Linked DNA regions of Caenorhabditis elegans. The protein of the gene in region 1 interacts with the protein of each later gene in a pairwise test. Each region holds a gene or a part of one and is shown on either strand. Other genes may lie near its edges.

What was found.
Region 2: the proteins of nhr-66 (region 1) and K03B8.4 interact in a two-hybrid assay, tested with the Caenorhabditis elegans proteins (one large-scale study listed by BioGRID).

Annotation. Positions count from the first base shown.
Region 1 is NC_003282.8:8,233,392-8,238,530, reverse strand, and holds the start of nhr-66 (Nuclear hormone receptor family member nhr-66), read left to right. Parts: upstream 1-1,948; 5' UTR 1,949-1,953; coding exon 1,954-2,022; intron 2,023-2,327; coding exon 2,328-2,496; intron 2,497-2,621; coding exon 2,622-2,706; intron 2,707-3,516; exon of another isoform or gene 3,517-5,139. UniProt on the Caenorhabditis elegans protein: Transcription factor. Binds to regulatory elements and regulates transcription of target genes, including the potassium channel accessory subunit mps-2. Negatively regulates transcription of mps-2, thereby modulating age-dependent memory decline.
Region 2 is NC_003283.11:11,394,143-11,397,143, reverse strand, and holds K03B8.4 (uncharacterized protein), read left to right. Parts: upstream 1-2,019; coding exon 2,020-2,129; intron 2,130-2,177; coding exon 2,178-2,358; downstream 2,359-3,001. Other genes in the region: Zinc metalloproteinase nas-18, read right to left, coding at 1-147, 546-710.

The DNA.
Region 1 (5,139 bases):
ACCAACCGTTTGTCCCATTTTTGTTTTTTATGATGAAAGCGAATTTTATACAGTATGATGCCTCTTTTTTCGAATATTGTAGGAAATTTTGTTGGATACTTGAATTGATTTTTAATAGAAAGTTTTCAATTGTTCATGTTCAAATCAATTATAAACAAAAGGCTTGGACCAAAGATAACTACTTCCTATGTTTTAAATTGAAACCAATAATCAAAATGAAGGCGATAATTGATTTTTTATTTTTATTTTCCGGATTTCGAGCGAGACTCAACTCTCAAACTCAAACTCGCGTCATTAAGATAAACGAGCATCTACACTTTTGGTTGCAAAAACTGCAAAAAAATTTTTTTTTAAACTATTTCCCAATTGATAATGCTTTCAAGTACATTTAAATGAACGTCTTCAAATATCAGCAAGCAAATTACAGTAACATTTCAATTCATGTTTATTTAGTTATACCAGAAAAAGTGCACCTGCCATTTACGCACTGTTTTATGGATTGAATCCATGACTTCTAGGCAGGTAGGCATGAAGTCCGAAATCTTGCTGCTGACTTGAATGAATCCCTAAACGAAAGCTGTCAAATACTTGAAAGAACACATTTGTATTCTTTTTTAATGTGCTTCTCGGAAAATTTTGATTTTTAAATGTTTTCTGCTACACTACGAAAATTTTCATAATATTCGCTAAATTTGCACGTGTTCAGTGAGCCTAACAACGCGACATGTCTACAAATATCTAGACACGAATGTATTTCTAACATTTGAATTTTTCAACTTCTTATGAGAGAAAGTCTTATGAGAAAAATCAAACGATGAACAGCTGAAGCATAACAGAAAATAAAAACATTTTTTCATTTCGACTATAGTTATAATTATTTACCCACAATGCCTGATTTCTCGAATTTTCATATTTTTTGTTCTTCTCTAAAATCTCTAACAATAGCCAAAATGTAGTCTGTTTTAAAGTTATTATGCGAGAAGCTGTGCACATATCCCATCTCGAGCCCCTTTTGTATGCACACTGCTGAGCATCAGAACGGACGGTATGCTGCACATCCCTCGTGACTGCGTATAATATCCACCCGATTTTTGTGTGATTAGCTGCAGAATATCGTATATCGAGGCGCGTTTTCCATTTGTGGCGATAATGCACATTTTTACTGTTGAATTCTCTTTTGAGGCTCCATAAACCACAAATAATGCGACGATCGTGTATTACAAATGTTCGACAACTGTGATTTCTCTGATTTCATCTTACTGTAGAAATAATTTCAAACTTCGCGCACAAATGGATTTCACCAGAGCGCACTTGCTGTATTCTTCGGTAGCAAATTTTTTCCAGCGAAAAGCATTTCGAAAAGCCTGTAAGCTTTCGTGAAATGAGATAATTTTTCGTGAAAAACGTTTCTACAATTTTTATCAATTTATTTATTTCAACATCTTCAAAAACATGTTACGTTCTTAAAAAAATACCTTTTAAAATTTACTATTAGCGAAAAATTGCTGAAAATTTTTGTTTTCTAAGATTATTTTTGTCCCGATGGTGTCGTCGTCACAACATCTCATACATATATACAGATAAAGAATAAAAGCGAATCCATTAGATTGGCGCATTTGATTTCTCGTTCAATCCGTCCTTTTTCTGCTGATCTTTCACGTGTCTCCTGCCGGCGGCCCCGCCCATTTTCTCATACTTTCAATTTTCAAGGTCCTTTTGTCAGTTCAGTATTCTAATTTTCCTCGTTCCTCGATGGCCTTCCGGTTACCTTGCTCTTGTTACAAAGCTCTCGCGAGCAAACTTCAGCCCGCCTCTTTTTTGAGAACTCGACTTGTGCTCGCCTGCTCTCTGTTGAGCTCAATTTATTCATTATTCTGATCGCAATTTTGTTTCGAATTAATAAAATTAGAAACGTCAACTATTTTCAGATTTCTTTCAGACATCTTCTATGGAATGCCGCCAATCAATGAGCCCACAGCGACGACAACATCAGCATCGTCGGTGTGGCAAGGAATGACACAGGTTTGCATAAAAATTGAATTTTATAAAGTTTAATATCAAATTTCCTATTAATATTAAATAGAATTCTATAAAATTTTATGCTTACAATAAAAAAATTGATTTTTTAAATTGTATCGTAGTCTCTGGCACAACGCAGGTAAATCGTTGCGAGACCAAGCCTTCCTTTGAACCATTTTCTTCAACAAATTGTTTCTTTTTTGTGGTTCCCTGCGCGCACAAATTGTATTTTTTTTAGTCGAAAAACTTGTTTCTTTGAAGAATTCATGAAATTTAATAATTAATTCAATAAAATATTTTATTTTCAGTTAAAATCTCAAGTCGACTTGATCAATATCGCTCGAGGAATTCTCTCAACCCCCGCAACAACATCAACATCATGTCTTGACATCCAGAATTCGACACCGATCATCGGTTCGTTGGCCTCCGGGAAATCCCAGACGCCAATTCTCACAGCGACAATGACTCCACAAATCGGTACGGTAGATTGTTATTGTCAATCAAGAAAAATGGGGGAGAAATGCGCGGGAGAAATTGAGTCGTAGTTCGCGTAAACAATTGTTGTTTTCTCTGAAATATTAATCAATCATGCTCGTTTTAAGGACTCACTGGGCTTGGTTCGTTGACATCGTTGCCTCCAGAACTTCTACTACAGTTCGCTAGACTGGACGGATTCAACTTATTACCGTGAGTTTTTTTTTCTTTTGAAAATTCAAAATTTTGCCGAAAATAGGCAGTTTTTTGTATGGAAAAAAAATTGCAATTGGAATTCAAAAAGAAATAATCAAAAAGTTGAACCTTCCGAATTAAATTTGAATTTTGATCTTTCATTATTATCTTCGCTCAAAGTCTTGTGCTTTGATCCATATCTTTCCTCCTGCTCTGTGACTTTGTACTTTTCATCTGTCTGATTTCTGCTTGACAACGCTGGAGTGTCTGATAAATCTAATCAAGCTGAGCAGCGCTATTTTCTTAAAAAATGTGATGTTACATACAGAAGAGACATAGAGTACATTGCTAATTCATAAGTTTAGAATAAAGAAACTCAAAATCAAAGAACAAAGTCAAATAATCCTTCATAATTTTAGTTGGTTGCCCTTGTCATTGGGAGCAGACTTCTCATATATATATATAAATGTGCATGCGCGACAACGGAAATGCAAGTAAAAGAGCATTGAAACAAAGATCCGTTGTATGTTGCATGACACATGAGTAGTGGAGAGTGTGGGAGAAAGGTGCAGAGTACAGCTGACTGGCATGCTCCTGTCGTTGAAATGTGTAGAAATGAAGGGATTTCTGTGCTGCAACGTTCCAGAGATACTTGTTGTAAGAAAGCTTCATTGTAATCATCTTTTCTCGACTAGACTGAAGTTTATATGTGCACCTGAAGCAGCTCTATTTTACAATTTGCAACTCACTTTTCTATGATTTCTAAATTAGTCGATGTGATTTTTCAATTATAAGATCAACGGGAACAAGTGGTGCAACATTATATTCAAGTTTTAACGGATTTATATAGCAACTTAATCAAGCTATTATATAAAAAGTCGAACACCAAATTGTTAGGTCTTCCGTCCATCGTTTAAAGCCCGAAGTCCTTCATCCATCCCCAATTGTCCGTTCCGCCTGACCATCGAAACAGCTTTGCAGCGCTCAATGACAGCAGATGCGCTTCAAAACAAACCGATAATAGGAGGAAAATTGAAGGGGTCAGAAATAACCCGCCTTGGTAGATCGGCTCCGTTTATAATTCCTTCCAAGCTAGCCGGCTCTCCGTTATTACTTCTTTGCCTCTTCCGTATATCCGAAACAGGTGGAAACTCTCGTCTCATTACCAACTCGTCGACTTTCTCTTTACTAAAGCTTTCCTCCTCTGACCCATCTTGTGCTTAACTGCATAATTTGAAATTCCCAGACTGCATGAGAACTTTTGCGTTGATGAGTCTCGTCTCTTTTTCTGCAAGGAAAAAAACCACAGAGAACCACACACAACGAGAAAGTTCAAAGGCTCAATGTATCATTTTACGTATTTCTCCTTTCTTTTCTTTCGCTAGCGCACACTTCAACATCCAAAAGCGCCACGTGTTTGTGTTTCGGGAAAACAGAAAACTGTGTGCTATAGCAAACTCAATACCCCATCACCGGAAACTTTCCGGTTTATCATCGCTTTTTGCGGTTTTTCTTTCGTGCGCCTGCCTGCTTGCAAAATACCACAAACTCATGTGTTATCGGTGTTGGCCTACAACATTTTCTATCATCATTTCGATGTTTATATAAAGATTTTTTCAAAAAGAAATGCATAGATCAGGATCGTGTTGATTCCAAAATGGAACTAGCAGGCTTTTGTCGTACTTTAGAACCTGGCTTATTGCCAAAATATTTCTATTCAAGTTGACAGCCGTTTGCTTTCGATTATTGTTCCGATGATCCCCATTTCGCCCTATTAAATGTTCAACATCTATTTGACAAACTCTAAAGACTACAAACTACGGGCATCTAGAATAAAGACGTTATCACTTGTTCTATTGTCCAGAAACTGTCATGTGAATATCTTATAAATCTCGTTGATCTTCAGTGGAAAAGCTGAATGAGACTAGTGTGTTAGAATATTGAAGTGATCTACATTAGATTGTTAAAATCTGCTGAAAGCCTACAATTACACATTTCAAAGCAGTTGAAATTAATTTCGCCAGTTTTATTTTGAATGGTGTTCATCGTGTAATCATTCGGATCGTTAGATCAAAACGATCAATTTCAGCGAATAGTCATGATAAAATGGTGACTTAGAGTTATCAGTTTGTGTTTATACTATAAACAACCGTTTGTGCATACGCAAAAATCGACTTTCGACTGTTTTAACTTCTTGTACAAAGATCGGGTTCACGAGGTGGCCAACCGTTTGTATTTTTTCGTAGAAATGACCTACAAACTAATAAGTATTCACGGACTCTTCTTCACTCCTGTGCGTAGTGTCCTTAGAGTGTTTGTCAATCCCTCGGTTTCCACCTTGTCCGCCTGACAGATCACTGGTGAGGGAAAGTGGCAGAGGGCAGTCGGAGAACAAGATAAAAGACGATGAAAAGAAAAAGAAAATTTCACCCATTTCGGTGTTCCTTTTCT
Region 2 (3,001 bases), on another chromosome or scaffold:
TGTAGATTGGTTGAAAATTGCATAATTATGCATCATTTCCTTGGACACATTTGTCAGATTAATGTTTAAAAAGTTATCTCGATCAAGTCTAGAGTGGGTGTGAATAACACCTAATGCATGCATTAATTCATGAACAGCAGTTCCAAACTGAAAGTTTATGTGATTGAGATCTGTCTATCATTCTTTCGGTGTGCCGTGTTTGGAAAATTTTCGAGTTTTGAAAAATTGTTTTCTGTACCTGTCATCGAAAACTTTCCAAAAAAAAAAAACATTTTCAATGCATTACAATTATCTTGACATTCCCGGTAACTTCTGGTCTAACTTTTGACCTCAACAAATATAAAGTGATACGTTTTCCTTGAATCACTTGAAATGAATGATTGATTTAGTTGGAAATAGTTTGCAGTTTCTAGAAAATGCCCACCACTACCAGAAAATAATCCACTTTTTTCACACTGTTAAGGCAACACATAAACATTAAGTTGGTCGTGAACGCCGAGAAACGGAAATATACATATGTATGTCGAAATGAAAGAAAAACTCACGTCTATGCACGTATCGTTAAATGTTAGATGTTGTACTATGTTATTCATCCCAATGTATGATGAACAGCCTTTACCGTTAACAAGTTGGACCCTGTTAGGAATTGAACAGTTTTCTTCAAAAGTCACGCAAGTTTGTGAAGATATGAAGTTCATGGAGAAAAGCATCAATTCTCGCTTTTCAGTACCTCAAAGTACATGTTTATAAGTTGTATTTCACTACTTCAAAATATAATAGAACTTACTGAATGAAGAATCAAAGCAATATAATAATTTTGCACTACTCGGTAGTTGGCTCCTCCTGGGGCGCGAAGGGGGTGCGACTGGCGCGCGAAAAGAGGTGAAATGCGCCTGGCGCGAGGATAGGGCGTGACTGGAGTGCGGAACAGGCGCGCTCGGATTGTGAAAAGAGTATTCTGAAACTGCCAAAGTGTCTACATAAGATGTATTAATCAATTTCTTGCGAACATATTATTGCTTTGAGACATATTTTCACACAAAAGTGAATTGTGTTTGTTCTATACGTTAATTGTAAACGTTTTGCAGCCATGCTAGTTACTGAAAAACCAAAACTTCAATTTAAATTCTGATATGAGGTTAGAAGAGAACAATATGGTTCATCTTACAAGGAAATTGTATTAAAATCTATCAATAATCGTACTGTTATCTAATGATGTTACGTTATAAAATATGTTCATTTTACCTATGCAGATAAAGTTAAGGCGATGTCTTGAGAATGTCTCCATTAGGAAACTCGCAGCATTGGCATTGTGGAGGCACGATGCACACATTCCTAAGAAAGTTGCCCCTAAATGCCAGGTATATTTTCCAATAGAAAGATATAAAAGATATGTGTAGTTTGTGTGAACATCTTCAAACTAATTTTCTAGATCACATGTCTCGTTGTTGTATTTTATACGTTTAGTATTGTGGCACCATATTACTGAAAGCTGAAAGAGACTAGATTGGCAATTATTATATATCAACTACATCATTCATACATATATAACATATAAGTGAAGAGATATATATATATATATATATATATATATATATATATATATATATATATATATATATATATATATATCAACCTGTTTTGGCAATGAGGCTGTCTGAAAGTAACAGGTTCGCGAAGAGAAACTGTTTTTGCACGCCGTCCGCGTTCTGACCGCGCCCCATCCGCGCCCATTCCGCACTCCTTCCGCACCCCTTCCGCGCCCCGTTCGCGCAACACGAACGACAATCCGTCCAAAATTGGCTTATGTTCGAGAAACACCACTTCTCGATGAGCAGCCTGCGGCTCCTGCTATTCCAGAGTGAATAGAATGAGATTAATGAAAGTGATTTATGGAATGATATAACTCTTGATCAAAAGTGTTATGATATTATCGAACAGATCAACGAACTGAAGGCTCGCCGCGATTTCTACGCAAGATTCTACACCGAGCCCGCAGAATTCATCAAAAGCTGGGTGATGAGCCAGAATTCGGACCTGAAGACTATGAACGAGCTGAGCGGGGATCTTGAAGCCGAAAGATTCGCTGAATCCTACGTGAGACCTGAAACAGAGGAAGGAGTTCAAAGGTATTAATGTTTTTCGGGGGTTCTAGAAATTAAAAAGTTTTTTTTCAGATACATGTTCCAAAAGGTGAACCAGAAGCGACATGAATTGGAGCAAATCTTGGTGTTCGATCAAATTAAGGCTCCATTGCCAAAAAAGAAGAAGTATGTGGACTCAAAACAGGTAAAGAAAAAACGAATTATTGCTAAAGAAAACCAGCTAGTAAAACAATGTAAAATATTAAACGAATAACAAAATGACATATAGGAAACCATGAAATGATAACTTTGAATTAAATTAAGTAACAAAAAATTGATGAGACTATTTTTGAGCTTTGAAGATGCGAAGCTACATATTTGCAAATACGTAGCTTTTGATCAAAACATTTTTGAAGCAATAGGTTGCTCTAGTTGCCGTTTCACGGGCATAATTGTGTAAGTCTATTTTTAAAGATATTTCATTGATTTTTTCAATATACTGACTTAATTAAATAGATTAATTTGAGCTTTTCAGAGAGGATGATGATCAGCAACACCAGTCTCCCGCCGTCTAGGGATCAATTGGCCTGCAGCCAAGCTGTCTTCAATCTGTTAATTTATTTTTTAATTGTTTTTCCATTGTTCGTTGTTGTAATAAATGCAATTCTTATTAATCTAAGATTTCAATTTCAATATGAAAATCGGCGGGAGCGAGAATAAAATCGAACCGGGCGCGTAGTGTGTGCGAAAGAAATGCGCTCGGCGCGCGAAAATTGTGCGACTAGATCGCGAGACAGTAGCCTAGTCGCGCCCCGTCCGCGCGCCAGTCGCACCCTCGTCGCGCGCCAAGCGAGCCAAACTACCGAGTAGTCCATTTTTGAGAAAATGATTCAGTTGCGATTTGTCTTTTCTGCCGG